Linked DNA regions of Oryctolagus cuniculus. The protein of the gene in region 2 interacts with the protein of the main gene of each other region in a pairwise test. Links are inferred from orthologs where the notes say so. Each region holds a gene or a part of one and is shown on either strand. Other genes may lie near its edges.

The links.
Region 1: the proteins of RANBP9 (region 2) and MKLN1 interact in a two-hybrid assay, tested with the Homo sapiens proteins (2 studies listed by BioGRID). The link is inferred for Oryctolagus cuniculus from reciprocal best matches to the Homo sapiens genes RANBP9 and MKLN1.

Annotation. Positions count from the first base shown.
Region 1 is NC_091434.1:167,390,346-167,398,377, forward strand, and holds part of MKLN1 (muskelin), read left to right. Parts: intron 1-2,977; coding exon 2,978-3,120; intron 3,121-5,423; coding exon 5,424-5,512; intron 5,513-8,032. UniProt on the Homo sapiens protein: Component of the CTLH E3 ubiquitin-protein ligase complex that selectively accepts ubiquitin from UBE2H and mediates ubiquitination and subsequent proteasomal degradation of the transcription factor HBP1.
Region 2 is NC_091436.1:157,007,827-157,015,858, forward strand, and holds part of RANBP9 (ran-binding protein 9), read left to right. Parts: intron 1-338; coding exon 339-460; intron 461-2,365; coding exon 2,366-2,517; intron 2,518-8,032. UniProt on the Homo sapiens protein: May act as scaffolding protein, and as adapter protein to couple membrane receptors to intracellular signaling pathways. Acts as a mediator of cell spreading and actin cytoskeleton rearrangement.

The DNA.
Region 1 (8,032 bases), on a different chromosome or scaffold from region 2:
AGCATTTAGTGCATTTATAGTGTTGTGCTACTGTCACCTCTATCTAGTGATCAGGTATTTTTCTTAGCCACAAGAAAGCCTCGTATCCATTAAGCAGTTTCTCCTTTTCTACTTCGGCCTTGCTCTTGGCAATAATATACATTCTGCCTCTAGATTTATGTATTATTGTTATTTCATATAAACATAGTCATATAGCATGACCTGTGCGTCTGACTTTTCACTTTAGTATGTTTTTGTGGTTAATCCATGTTGTAGCATTAAACAGTACTTCATTCTTTCCTGTTGCTGAATAATACTATGTTTTGTGGTTTGTTTGGTTAGTCATTAGTAGATGTATATTTGGGTTGTGTTGTGTAGACTTTTTGGCTATTACGAATAGTACTACTCTTGACATTCATATACATCATGTGTTCGTTCAAATACTTTTTTTTTTTTAATTTCTTTTGGGTATATGCTTGGAGTAGACCTTCTTGATCATGTAGTAATTCTGTTTAACTTTTTGAGGAATTGCTAAATTACCCACAATGTTTATAATTTTAACATTTCTATCAGCAATGTTTGAGAGGTCCACTTTGTCCTCAACATGCCAATACTTGTTATTTTGCTCTTTCTCTGTCTTTGTCTCTCTTTCTCTGTCTCTCTGTGTATGTGTGTGTGTGTATGTGTGTTGAGAGTGATATTTCATTGTGGTTTTGATTTGGCTTTCCCTGATGATCAATGTTGAACACATCTTTTCATGATGTTTAATTTTTTAAAAAAATTTATTTTATTTATTTTGAAAGGCAGAGTTGGAGGAGTGGGGAGGGGAAGAGAGAGAGAGATCTTCCATTCAGTGGTTCACTCTCCAAATGGCCACAACAGCTAGGGCTGGGCCAGGCCAAACCCAGGAGTCAGGAGCTTCATCTGGGTCTGCCAAATGGGTGCAGGAGCCCAAGCACTTGGTCCATCTTCCGCTGCTTTCCCAGACACATTAGCAGGGAGCTGGATCAGAAGTGGAGCAGCTGGGGCTCAAGCTGTTGCCCACCATATGGGACGCTGGTATTGTGGGTGATAGCTTTACTCGTTATACCACATTGCCAAGCTGCCCTCTCCCCCTTTTAAAATTTATTTTATTTATTTGGAAGGCAAGGTTAGAGGGCGAGAGAGGGAGATACAGAGGGATCTTCCATCTGGTGGTTCACTCCCCAAAAGGCCACAGCAGCCTGGGCTGGGCTAGGCCGAAGCCAGAAGCTTCATCCAGGTCTCCCACATGGGTTCAGGGGCCGAAGAACTTGGGTCATTTGCTGCTGCTTTCCTAGTTGCATTAGCAAGCAGCTGGGCCAGAATAGAAAATTTAATTAGCAAGCAGCTGGATTGGAAGCTCAACAGCCAGGTCTTGAACTGGTGCCCATATGGAATGCTAGTGTTGCAGGTGACAGCTTACTCCACAATGCTGGTCCCATGATGTTTAATCTTCTTTAGAGAAAGAGCTATTCATGTCTTTTGTCTATTTTTAAATTGAGTCAATTGTCTTTCTGCTATTGGTTTTGAAGTTTTAGTGCTTATGTTTAGGATGTTGGTCTTGGCTCAGTTTTGATTCATTTTGAGTTAGTTTTTGTGCATGGGAATAGGTGTAGGACCGCTGACTGTTATCACCTGCAGTACCCATTAGCATTATGAAACATGAAATCTCTGCAACAGACGTCTCAGTTGGTTTTCTGGGTAGCTTTATCCTCACGTAGTCAATCAGTGGTAATTTCCTGCTTAAGCTTTTAATTGAAAACTGTCTGCTAATGTAAAATGTTTTCCCTAATTAACTGATCCTGTTTTATCCAGTGTGTGGTAGGGAAACTTGAGCTACATTAGACATCTATAGTAGGTCTGGATTGTTTAATTTGTAAAATTGTCAGGGGTGGTTAGTAACTCTTGAAGTTTATTTGTAGGTTTTAGGTTTTGTCACTGGCTTAGAGCATTGATTTAGTTATTGAAGTGTAGTTCATGGGAACATGAACTTGTTATTTTTGCATTCTAATCTTGCTTTATTTGATAATTAATTCCTTGGCTATGTTACTTACTTATTGAATACTGTTCTGTGGTTAGAAATTCTCACTTGGTTAATCCTCCGCCTGCAGCACTGGCATCCCATATGGGTGCTGGGTTCTAGTCCCGGTTGCTCCTCTTGCAGTCCAGCTCTCTGCTGTGGCCCAGGAAGGCAGTGGAGGATGGCCCAGGTGCTTGGGCCCTGTACCCGCATGGGAGACCAGGAGGAGGCACCTGGCTCCTGGATTCAGATCGGCACTGCACTGGCCGTAGTGGCCATTTAGGGGGTGAACCAACGGAAGGAAGACCTTTCTCTCTGTCTCTCTCTCTCACTGTCTATAACTCTACCTGTCAAATAAAAAAAAAAAAAGAAATTTTTCCTCACCTTTAATCTGCAGTATTCAGGATGATACAGTTTCTGGGATTTACTAGATTAAACAAATGGGTGAGTTGTTTGGTATATTAGTTAGGTCACCATTTCAGACTCCTGCATCCCGAGTTGGAGTACCTGGTTCAATCCTTGCTTCCAGTACGGCTTCCTGCTAATGGGCACCTTCGAATAGCTTAAGTAATAGCTTAAGTACTTGGGTCCCTGCCACCCACACGGGAGACCTGGATTCAGTTCTGGGCTCCTTCCTGGTTTTGCCTTGACAGCTCAGGTTGTTAAGAGCATTTGGGGAGTGAACCATTAGATGAGCCATCTTTCTTCGACTGTTTATGTCTCTCTGCCTTTCAAAGAAAATTAAAACAAAGAAATTGAAAAAAAAAAAAGTGGTGATTGTGTGGTAGCCTTTATAGGACTCTTGTGTTTTATTCTTTACTTTTCAAAAAATAATCTTCCAGTGGAGAGGGGTCCAGATAGACCTTCTGTTTAATTGTCAAGTGTTTTAACTTTTAGAGTTGTCTAATTATTTGTTTTAAACAGAGGAAGATATGATTTGGTTGTTTCTTTTTTTAGTATTTGATTCTGAAGCTTGAAAGGCCTGCTATAGTTCAGAATATCACATTTGGAAAATATGAGAAAACTCACGTCTGCAACTTGAAGAAATTCAAAGTCTTTGGTGGAATGAATGAAGAAAATATGACAGAGCTGTTGTCTAGGTGAGTTGTGGTTGTGAGGAGAGAAGTTGTCTTCTAAACAAACTGCAGTTCTAGTTTCATCTCTTTCAAAAGAGAAAAGAATATTTCTCCTATTTTTTAATACTGTGGCTTAACTTTTTTTTTCCCTTTAAACTACTGGGTACTCAGTGTTATCAAGCAAAAATGAATAAAATTTTTTGATATTTTTTATTTTCAATTGTATTTTTAAAATGTTAATGACTTGAGCTTTAATGAAAACCTTTGCTATAAAAATATAGTCTCTATCCAAAACGTTGGTTCACTGCTGTAATCCAGAAGTAATCTTCTAAGAGTTTATTGTAAGTGGGGCACTGAAAAAAGGAAGTTCTTGTAAATGGAAAAGCTACATGATTTAACATAGTGCTTGCTGCAAGGAGGGAGGAGGAGCTCAGGAACCATCAGAAATAAAGGTGTTAATTTGCCCCTCAGAGAGTGAAAAATCATATAGCAGTGGAATATGCAAATAAAACCATGCAGATATAGAATATATTTGTGGGGCCAGCACTGTGATGTAGCGGGTAAAGCTGCCCAGCACATCTTATGTGGGTGCTGGCTGGTTTGAGTCCCGGCTTCTGATGCAGCCCTCTGCCATGGCCTGGGAAAGCAGTGGAAGATGGCCCAAGTCCTTGGGCCCCTGTACCCCCACGAGAAGACCCGGTGGAAGCTCCTGGCTCCTGGCTTTGGATCGGCACAGCTCCTGCTGTTGTGGCCAGTTGGGGAGTGAACCAGTGGATGGAAGGCCTCTCCTTTCTGTGTGTAATTCTGACTTTCAAATACATAAATAAATCTTTAAAAAAATATATATTTGTGACATGGTAGATCCCATTAACTCAGTACTTTAAGTAAATATTACTCCAATACTGCATTGATTTTAGTCAGGAAGTATGTTAGGGCATAATCAGAAGGTGACTTTCACATTTCAAAAGTTGGATTTCAAAAAGTTGAAAATGTATAATTTAAAGCTAAGTTTATTTTGGTGAAAAATTAAAAAGAAAAATTCAGGCATAATGTTATCACAGTATACATTTTCCAGGAAGACTTTTAAGACTCCTTGTATGCAAGGAATTAAAAATTTACTGGCACCAAAATGTTTTTAAAGATTTATTTATTTGAAAGGTAGAGTTACAGAGAGAGGTAGAGACAGAGAGGTCTTCAATCGATTGGTTCACTCCCCAAATGGCCACATTGGCCGAAACTGAGCCGATCTGGAGCCAGGAGCTCTTTTTGGGTCTCTCACGTAGGTACAGGGGCCCACTGCTTTCTCAGGTGTGTTAGGAGGGTGCTGGATTGGAAGTAGAGCACCTGAAACTAAAACCGGTGCCCATATGGGATGCCCACACTGCAGGCCAGGGCTTTAACATGCTGCGCCACAGTGCCGGCCCCCAAAATAAGCTGCCTTTTTTTTTTTTTTTTAAAGATTTATTTATTTATTTGAAAGGCAGAGTTACAGAGAGGCAGAGGCAGGGGCAGAGAGAGAGAAAGAGAGGTCTTCCATCCATTGGTTCACTCCCCGGGTGACTGCAGTGGCAGGAGCTGTGCCGATCCAAAGCCAGGAGCCAGGAGCTTCTGGGTCTCCCACGCAGATGCAGGGGCCCAAGGACTTGGGCTATCTTTTACTGCTTTCCCAGGCCATAGCAGAGAGCTGGATCGAACGTGGAGCAGCTGAGACTCAAACTGGCCGTCCATATGGGTTGCTGGCACTACAGGCGGTGGCTTTACCTGATACACCACAACACTGGTCCCCAAAATACTCTTAATTCCATTTTCTGCTAACTTATGATGTATCCTTGTTTATATGTCAATTCTAATTGTTTAAGTGGAGTAGTGCTGTGAGTTCCTTTAGGATAAAGCATGTTTGTCTTTGAATTTTTGTTTAAAAGGAACATTAACATCCCATTCAGAAACAAATGATTTAATTCTTAGACAAATTCTCATATTTGACTTTTAAGTTGTCAGTTATCAATGTGACTTTTTTTTTTAGTTTTTCTTCTTACCACCTGAAACTTCAGTTATACATTAATGACACTAGGTCCTGTAATACATGTCTGTGCACTGTTGCCAACTCGTTAATACTCAGTGTTTTTCATTAGCTGTCAAATAATTAATAGAATATAGTTATGATGCAGTTCATTAGAATATAAAAGTTTTAACTTTATTTGCATGTTGGACCACTTAGTCATTTATTGTGAGCATTGTTTTAAACTGAAAATTTGAGTATGACATCTATATTTTAGTGTATTTCTTAATTATGAAGTCAGATTTAATAACTTTTTTTTCTCTTTCAGTGGCTTAAAGAATGATTATAACAAAGAAACATTCACCTTGAAGCATAAAATTGATGAACAGATGTTCCCTTGTCGATTCATAAAAATAGGTAAGGTTTTAGCATTCAGGAATGGAAAAATTTTTTTTTATATCATCAGTCAGGAAACTATAGCCCATGGACCAAATCCTGCAGGCCTCCTCTTTGTTTAAAATAAAAAACTATGGGAGCACTGCTCTGTTGGCTTGTTTATGTTACCTGTGGTTATTTTGTGCTGTAAAGGCAGAACTAGCTGCAAGAGTTCAGTAGTTACTCACTAAGCTCAAAAGGGTTGCTATTTGATCCTTTACAGAAAATGTTGTTAGTTTTAAAACTTTAGCATTCTAAAACGAAAACCAAAATATTGAAATGTTTCTTAAGGTAGTATATTATGGTTACTTTTTATTATTTCTTTTTTTATTGAAATATTGGTCATATTCACTAAATTCATTTCATGACTTACTAGTGTGTTGTAAACTGCTGTTTGACCATTACTACTTTAATGAAAGGATAACCTTAAAGGCCCAAACCTCACATATTGATTTGGTGGAATAGAGTGTTTGCTAGTCTGTCAAGAGCCGTTCTGTTCTATCTTGATGCAGTAATTCAGTTGTGCAGAAGGAATACCTGAAGTCTTATTGAAGATTGCTTAGAGAGGGAAAGCCATCTTGGAAATAGTTGGGTGTCCAGTGTGTTACTTTCTTTTGTAACTGTAATTTCTTTTGTTAAATAATTGTAAATAAAATCTGTTTCCTGTTCTATTTAAGAATTTGTGAGCAAGCAAATTTTTTGGATAAATTTAACTCTTGGTTATGTACTTCTTCTGTGCTAGTGAGTAACTGTTTCTTTAGTGTTTGGATCACCCAGTTCCTCCAGTGTCTTTCGTAGCTTTAATAATTCTGTGATCTTTTATTTCAGATATATAAGCAGTGGAAATTAGAACCCTTCCCAGCTCTTTCTGTTAGCCTTTTATTTTATTTTGGTGAATTTTTGCTTGTGCATTTTTAATTTCCCCCAACTTTATTAAAGTCTAATTAGTGAATATAATAATTTTATATGTTTATGATGTGTAGTATAATTTTGTGATGTAGGCATACATTGGGAAGCTGATTAACATATCCTTCAACACACATTTTTTGTAGTGAGGCTTTTTTTTTTTTTTTTGACAGGCAGAGTGGACAGTGAGAGACAGATAGAGAGAAAGGTTGGTTCACCCTCCAATGGCCACCTCGGCTGGCGCACCGCACTGATCCGATGGCAGGAGCCAGGTGCTTCTCCTGGTCTCCCGTGGGGTGCAGGGCCCAAGCACTTGGGCCATCCTCCACTGTACCCCCTGGCCACAGCAGAGAGCTGGCCTGGAAGAGAGGCAACCGGGACAGAATCCGGTGCCCCGACCAGGACTAGAACCCGGTGTGCCGGCGCCGCAAGGCAGAGGATTAGCCTAGTGAGCCGTGGCACTGGCCTAATGTGGTGAGGCATTTAAGTTCTACTTTCTGAGCAGTTTTCAAGTATGCTGTACAGTAGAGCTCTAGCACTCACTTACCCTGAAATCTTATCTCTTTTACCAACATTTCCCTCTTCTCAGCAGCATTCTAACTGTAGAACACAATATCTTTTCTTTTTTTTTTGACAGAGTGGACAGTGAGAGAGAGAGACATAGAGAAAGTTTTCCTTTTCCATTGGTTTACCCCCCAGTGGCCGCTATGGCCGGAGCTACACTGATCCTAAGCCAGGAGCCTGGTGCTTCCTTCTGGTCTCCCATGCAGGTGCAGGGCCCAAGCACTCGGGCCATCCTCCACTGCCCTCCTGGGCCACAGCAGAGAGCTGGACAGGAAGAGGACCAACTGGGACTAGAACTCTGGGGGCCGGCGCCGCAGGCGAAGGATTAGCCTATTGAGCCACGGCGCTGGCTGATATCTTTTCTTGACCTGGAGTTAATCTTATAGTATTCAGGCAGGATGTTAATTGAAGCTTTCCAGGTAATTATAGCCACTGATTAGCTCATTTAATATTTAGGACACTACTATTTAGGTAAATTTGTATTTCTTTTCTGTTAAAAAATGTTAATACTGGTCTGTAGTCTATTTGCTTTTCAACCCCTTTTTAACATCTCTTGATAATTTTTGTTTGAAAGTTATGTAAGCAAAATGTGAAACTAAAAGCCTGTGTGTCAGGTTGGCATCTTTGGTTTATCACCATATTTACTGAAAAAAAAAAAAATCAACTATTGGAGCAGGTGTTTGGCACAGTGGTTAAGTTGCTGCTTGTGATGCCTTAGCCCATATGCCTGGGTTTGGATCCCAGTTCCTCTGCTTCTGCTCCAGCGTCCTGCCAGTGCACACTCTAGGTGATTGCAGGAGTGGCTCGAACACTGCCATCCAAGTGGGCAGCCCTTGCTGGAGGTTCTGCTTCAGCCTGGCCCAGCTCTGCTACGTAGTCATTTGGAGAGTAAACCAGAAAATGCAGGAGATCTTGATCTTTCTCTCTATCTCTCTGTCCCTCCCTCCCCATCACCTTGCCTTTCATATAAAATGCAAAGAAATAAAAATTAAGAAGATGTCAGAACACAGTATACAGAAAGTTTACAAATAT
Region 2 (8,032 bases):
GAGGCTGGCCCAACAGGCTCTGGGGCGGCAGTCCTGATAGTTAGCAGGGATAGGCCTGTTGTGCCAGAGTGTTCCCTCTCCTGTTGGTGTCAAGTCAAAAACCACCACACAGTTAGCGCGTGTCTTCCTCCTTAGCTCCAGGAGGTGCAGGCTTGGTAAGCGTCGGCTGTGGATCTGGCTTTGAGTACACTTGAGATGTAACTACATACCTTTTTTGCAGATTGCTATTGCCTTGTGAAGTTAGTTTATACGTAGGTTAAGTAGTTGAGAAGTAATTTGTCTTACACCAAGCTGCAAGTATGATCTTTCTAAAACTAGGTTTGTTTTTTCATTTTCAGTAATGATGTAGACATGGAAACAGATCACTACTCCAATGGAGTTGGAGAGACTTCATCCAATGGTTTCCTAAATGGTAGCTCTAAACATGACCACGAAATGGAAGATTGTGACACCGAAATGGGTCTGCAGTGATATTTCTTACATTTTTAATAAAAATGATGGCTACAAGGTTATGTTTTTACTTGTACTGATGAGCATAAACCAAATTTAGTGATGTGTGTGCAGTAGTGTTGACAGTAATACATATTACTGGAACTCTCTCAGCTAGAGAGAGTAGTTATTTTTGAATTTCTTCTGAAGTCAAGTGCCAGTTTTCTTTGTTGAATTGGCTGTTCAGGCTTAATTTTAGGGTTATGCTTAATGAAGCTGTACTAATCACTGTTGAGCCTTAAGGGTTTTAAGGTCAGAGATAAATTTGTTACACTTACTTCAATATAGTCAGTAAGGCCAAGTGGGTCAAATGATTTTGCAAATTCAAAATTACTAAACTTTTTGTTAAATTCTAGTTAAATTGTTAAACAGTTCCTAACTCGTTCACTGCAAACATGAGTGACTGCCCAGTACTGTGTGTGGTATATTAGGTGCTGACGTATGACCTCCCCCAGCAGAGAAAAAATACACAGGACTCAGAGATAGACTAGCATGCAAACTTGTATTTTGTAGACAAATTATGTAGTAAACTGCGCCTTAAAGTCTTTCAGCAAACTTCCAGAAAATAATGAAAATTTATTGAAACCTACAAATTGCTTGTTGGAATTCCATGAAAATATGAATTTCTTGGCATTTTGAAATTAAAAGGTGTTTATTTACCAAAATTATTTGAAAAGCAGCCTCACCTCATTTTTCAGTGAGAGATCAGCAACTTCGGCTTCTTCAGGGCAGTTTAAGCGGAGTCATCGAGAGCAGGAGCTCTAGAGCAGATGACCTGCAGTGGTGTCTGCAACTCCACTTACTAGCTCTGTGACCTTGGACAGATCACTTAACCTGATCTGTGCCTCAGCATCTTCATCTGTAAAATGGGTATAATAACTGCCTCTTAGGTCACTGTGCAGGGTGAATCCGTGTGTTAACCTGTGGAAAGCAAACAAGCACAGTGTCAGCCGCCGTCATCTTCACAGCAGGGAGTTGTGTTACTCTGGATTTCCACTCACACTGCTGAGCAGTGACGTGATAGTTGTCACTCAAGATGTATAGCACAATTCTTTTCTAAAACCAGGATAGTTATTTTGATTATTATAATGTGTTATAATAATCTGTGTTTCTATTGGAATCATTTAGCCTCTCTTAGCTTCCAGGAACACTTTACTCCACCTCTGTTATATGTCAGTTAAAACAGCCTGAGAGGCAGTTACTACCTTCTCTCTTTTTCTTTGTTAATTTTGCTTAGTGTGGTTTTATTTTTTAATTTTTATTTTAAGATTTACTTATTTACTTGAGAGGCAGAGTTATAGAGAGAGGGAGAGACAGAGAGGTTTTCTATCCTCTGGTCCACTTCCCCAAATGGCCATAATGGCTGGAGCTGAGCCGATCTGAAGCCAGGAGCTTCCTCCAGATCTCCCACGTGGGTGCAGGGGCCCAAGCACCTGGGCCATCCTCCGCTGCTTTCCTAGACCACGAGCAGGGAGCTGGATCAGAAGAGGAGCAGCCGGGATTCGAGCTGGCAGCATACAGATGGATGCCTAGCCTACCATGGCACAGCGCCGGCCCCTCTTCATGTGGTTTTAGAGACTGGCCCCTGCCTCTTGGTGACACTCGTGAGACACTGGGTCCATCCTGACACTGCACGGGTAGCCCTGCCTCTGGGCTGCGCGCAGCACCCTGGATCCCAGACTCCCGAGCTCTGGATCCAGTGTGATGATTAGCTGCAGAGTTCCCTGCTCGGTTGAGCACGAGTCTGTGTGTGTAGGTGACATGTTGGGGAGTGCTTACTGACTGGGAGGTCTAAAATGGATCAGAAATGTGTGTTCATTTCTTACGTGTGTTCCATTCCATAAAGTAGTGAAGCACTTCTTTGTTTGGTTTGCAGAAGTTGACTCAAACCAGTTAAGACGCCAGTTATGTGGCGGAAGTCAGGCTGCCATTGAAAGAATGATCCACTTTGGAAGAGAGCTGCAAGCCATGAGTGAACAGCTGAGGAGGGAGTGTGGCAAGAACACAGCGAACAAGAAGATGTTGAAGGTGAGTGTTTCCCCGGCAAGAGCGGAAGGCGTCAGAGGAACAGGAGCACGCTCGTGTGAGGACGTCGGGATGTGCTAGCAGCTCTTGCTGTGGTCTTGGGCCGGCCGCTCCCTGTCCCCTGTGAGAGGGCCGGCTTGAGGGGTCGAAGCTGTGCTCCACTGGAAGGAGCATTTGACCCAACCAAAAAAAAACTAAATCCTGTTCCGTTACTTATCAGTGTTGTGGACCCTTTAATTCTTAGTTTTATTTTCTCAGCTGTAAACTGGTATAGTTAGTAGAACTCTGAGTGTACTGGTAAAGCTACACATTTGAGGTATTTGTATAATTTTAGTAAAAATGGTTAGTGCGTCTTCCGTGGCCGAGGCGGGGAGAGGTAGTCAGTCACCACATTCAGTGCTTCCTCTGCCGTGGAGCGCACGCTGAGATGGCATGCCTGGTGTCTGTGTATGTGGGGATTAGAATAGGCGAAAAGACACGCTGCCGTCTTCTGGCTGGATGGGCGTGATCAGGTCAGGTGAGATGTGAACAGTTCCCACGATTTGAGTGTTGTTCGGGCATCAGGAGTTTCCTCCTAACGTAAGTCAGCATGCAGGTAGCTGTAGAGAAGTTATAACCCTTTAAAAGTCGATTTGTTACAAAAGAAGCAAAAACTAGGAGTGGGTGACAGGTGTTGTGATCCTGAGGCACAGGGAATGGGAGGAAAGGGCACGCACGGCACCTGAGCCGAGGTCAGGAGAGCGGGGAGCGCCCGCCGGTGCCCTCGGCCTAAGGGGGGGGGGGGCTGCCCCCCCGCGTCTGCTCTCGGCTGGGGGGGGGGGTGTAATCACCACGTTCAGTTTAGCACAACAGCTGCTGTTTCTAATGGTGAAGCTGAGCTATCAAAGAAAGGCTGAGCTGTGCGTTCTGTGCCAAATGAAAAAGAATTAATGAAATAGTTTGTCGTTTAAAAGGGCAAATCAGATATTCATGTATCAGGAAATTTCCTTAAGGTCAAACTGTTGTTTTTTTTAAAGATCTGTTTATTTGAAAGGCAGAATTAGAAACAAGAGGGTCCTATAGGGTGATGTAGCGGCTAAGGCCGCCGCCTGCAGTGCTGACATCCCATTTGGGTGTTGGTTTGTGTCCCAGCTGCTCCACTTCTGATCCAGCTCTCTGCTGTGGCCTGGGAAAGCAGCGGAAGATGGCCCAAGTGCTTGGGCCCCTGCACCCCCATGGGAGAGCTGGAAGAGGCTCCTGGCCTTGGATCGGCACATCTTCGGCCATTGCAGCCAATTTGAGGGTGAACCAGCGGATGGAAGACCTCCCCCTTCCCCTCTTCTCCCCCTCTCGCCTCTCTGTGACTCTCCCTTTCAAATAAATAAATGTATCTTAAAAAAAGAACAACGAAACGAGAAATCTTCCATCTGCTGGGTCACTCCCCAAATACCCACAACAGCCAGCGCTGTGGAGGCCAAAGCCAGGAACCTCAGCTGAGTCTCCCACATTGATGGCAGGGACTCAAGCACTTGGGCCCTCTTCCACTGCTCTCCCAGGAGCATTAGCAGGCAGCTGGGACTAGAACTGGTTCCAGTATGGGACGCTGGCATTGCAGGCCGTGGCTTAACCTACTGTGCCACAGTGCTGGCCCTAGACTGTACTTAACAGTCTCCCCCGTGTAGATCTTTCTCTGAAGTATGTATCTCCAGTGTACAGCATCAGATAGAATACGCTTATCAAATTCATTTGTAAAGTATTACTAGTTTTTCCAAATTAAAGATTTTGATCACTGTGTAACTCTGTAGAACTTTTCTCTAGTATCAGGAAGAAAAAACTTAACACTTGGGTTCTTTATTATTTTAGGAGACTAGAATGATCCCTTTGGGAAACTCAGTACTTCTTTGTTATGTTCTGAGCATACTTTAGGGCAGTGATTCTCAAATATTTTGGTGTCTGAAACCTCTAAAAATTGATTCCCAAAGAGTTTTTGTTAAATGGTTTACATTTATTGATACCGCATTAGAAATTAAAACTTGTGATGGGTATTTGCCCTAGTGGTTAAGACACCTGTGTCTCGTGTTGAAGAGTGAATTTGGCCTGCGGCACCGGCACCCCGGGTTCTAGTCCAGGTTGGAGCGCCGGATTCTGTCCCGGTTGCCCCTCTTCCTGTCCAGCTCTCTGCTGTGGCCTGGGAAGGCAGTGGAGGATGGCCCAAGTGCTTGGGCCCTGCACCCGCATGGGAGACCAGGCGGAGCACCTGGCTCCTGGCTTCAGATCTTCATTGGAGATGAACCAACGGAAAAGGAAGACCTTTCTCTCTCTCTCTCTCACTGTTCACTCTGCCTGTCAAAAAAAAAAAAAAAGAATTTGAATCCTGGCTGTGCTCCCAGCCCCAGCTTCCTGCAGATGTGTACTGTGGGAGGCAGCAGCGGGTGTACTGAAGGAGCTGAGTCCTTGTACCCATGTGGGAGACCTGGATGGAGTTCGTGGCTGGGCTTTGGCCTGGCCCAACCCTGGCCATTGTGGGCATTTGAGGAGTGAACCAGCAGATCGGAGTTCTGTCTGCCACTCAAATAAGTGAATAAACAAAAATTAAGAAAAAGTTAAAATTCTAAAATCTTTAATTCATCCCAAACTAAATCCATTAAACCACCAATATGTAATGATCTTCCCCCAAAATAAAAGAGCAGCAGCATTGTTTCATATTTTTGCACATCTTTTTAAAAAGATTTACTTGTTTGAAAGGCAGAGTTAGGAGAGGGAGAGATTGAGAGAGAGAGACGGATCTTTCATCCACTGGTGGTTCATTCCCCAAATGGCTACAGCAGCCAAGGCTGGGCCAGGCTGAAAACAGGAGCTTGGAACTTCATCTGGGTTCCCTTGTGGGTGGGAAGAGTCCAAGTCTCTCTGCTACTTTGCCAGGCGCATTCCCAAGGAGCTGGATTGGAAGTGGAGCAGCCATGACTGGAACCAGCACCCATCTGGGATGCCAGTGGTGGCTTAACCTGCTGGGCCATGCTACCAGCCCCTGCTTGGCTCCATAGACGATCAGCTGGACTCTGGTTCCTACTTCTGCGTTCAGTTGTGAGATCACATAGCCTCTGGGAAAGCCCACTGTGTAGTTATGAGGGAATGAAAGTGAGGAAGAAGGGAAAGCTTAGTAGTATTATAAAAATAGTGTTGACCTCACAGACCCCAGGAAGGATCCTGCACTACCCAGGGGCCCCTGGCCCTACTTTGAGGAATTGTTTTAGAGGATATTGGGGAATATGAATGTTTCAACCATCGATTTTGGTTTTCTTGTTAAAATTTTATGCTGAGCAAGGTGAAGAAATCTGTGACTTAAGTAGTACCTTTGAACATTGAAGATCTAACTCTGTCAGCTTATTCTTTGATTCTCATTCGTATATAACTCAGAAAATGATGTTACAGGGCCAGTTCTCAAAGGTACTCCTTGATTAAACACCAAAGTATGTGAACGTATGATGTTGTAATTTAAGAATGCAGATGGCTTCGAGTGTGCATCTCTGACAGCTAGGCACCTGCAGCCATGCTCAGAGGCTTTCTTGATATTCTGAGCTGCCTGCCTTCTCCAACGCCTGATGCAGAGAGGGAGAAGAAAAGAAAGTGACGCACAGCACAAGGGGGCGATCGGAGGGCAGCAGAGATGATGTTTTTGCTGTAGGTGAAGATTAGAAATTACTATTTATTTTTCTGGGCAGGTCATGTGATTTTTTTTAATCTTGAATGTTTTGGGATTTGCATAATCTTCTGACTCATGCATTCATGTATGACTCCCATGACAGGGATGTTCTGAGAAACGTGTTGTTAGGCAGTTTCATCCTTGTGCAGACGTCCTAGATGTGCTTGTGCAGGCAGATGGGAGACAGCCGGCTACAAACCTGGGCCCTGCCGTGCATCCTGCTGCTCCTGGGGCCCTGCCCAGCAGTCACGCAAGAGACAGGTGCATCTGTGTCGGGCGCTGCTGCCGAGAGAATGTTACAGTCAAGGTGGTTGTTTTTCATAGACACGGGGGTGCGCTCTAAAAAGTCTGCTGTAGCAGGTTTGTGTCAAGTAGAAGTTTCCACACCTCATGGTAGGAGCCACCCTTCTGTGCGTCTGCACCGGCTCCACGCGGACGGGAACAATGCACTGTGCTCTGGGAGGAGTTTTCAGTTCCATCTTGGCCTTCAGGACGGACTTTGTAGCTGGGGTGGTGTGGTTAAGGAGAAGACGGCATTCACTGAGTTGTTTCACCAGAAGTTAGGCTTGCCTTTGCGCCCCTTGGTGCAGAGCAGCCCTGGGGAGCAGAGGGCCGGGGGCTGCCGCAGGTCGCAGCCAGCTGTGCTGACTTCGTGTTCGCCCTTCTAGTGTGTCGCCAGCCTTCCTTTCCTGCTGTCTCCACTTCTCTTGCCTTCCTGACTCGGCTTGTTCAGCGGCGAGTTAGTGAGCTTAGGCAGGTGGGCCCGGCCTGCCAGGAGCTGCTCGCCCAGCGAGTGAGGCAGCAGGGCCAGAGCGCCAGCCTGCCTGGAAACTGTTCCAGGTTTTAAGCCAAGCATGAGCAGAGTTTGAGAATCTACCTAAAAGATGGCATGTTTCCTTCAAATTATTTAATATTTTTCTTTTTAAACAAATAACTCATAATGCAGCAGTATCAGACATTTTCATTTTGTGCCTTCACCCCCATGCACATATATTTTATGCACAGTGACACTATCTTTTTTTGAAAGATTTGTTTATTTGAAAAGGCAGAATAGAGGCAGAGAGAGAAAGAGAGCTCAGTCCTCCCTCCGCTGGTTCACTCCTCACATAGCTGCAGCATCCTGGGCTGGGCAGATCCAAAGCCGGGAGCTTCATCCAGGTCTCCCACGTGGCTGGGAGGGGCCCAGAAACATAGGCCACCCTCTGCCTCTTTTCCCAGGGCGTTGGCAGGGAGCCGGGCTGGAAGTGACGACAGCCAGGACCCAAACCTGTGCCCACACGGGATGCCAGCACTGCAGGTAACAGCTTTACCCACTATGCCACAACACCAGCTCCTGTATTGCTCATATTTATAGGCATAAAAATGTTTATAAACAACACAAAATACAGACAGATGCGACAGACACCCTTCCCAGCTCAGAAAGCAGGCATGCAAATGCTGTAGAAACCAGAAACCTGGCTGGCACCGCGGCTCACTTGGCTAATCCTCCGCCTGCGGCACCGGCACCCTGGGTTCTAGTTCCTGTCAGGGTGCCGGTTCTGTCCCAGTTACTCCTCTTCCAGTCCAGCTCTCTGCTGTGGCCCAGGAAGGCAGTGGATGATGGCCCAAGTGCTTGGGCCCTGCACCTGCATGGGAGACCAGGAGGAAGACCTGGCTCCTGGCTTTGGATCGGCGCAGCGCGCCGGCCGTAGTGGCCATTTGGGGGTGAACCAATGGAAGGAAGACCTTTCTCTCTGTCTCTCTCTCTCACTGTCTAACTCTGCCTGTCCAAAAAAATAATAAAAATTAAAAAAAGCCAGAAACCTGTGACTTCAAAAATGTAACACTTTACAAATG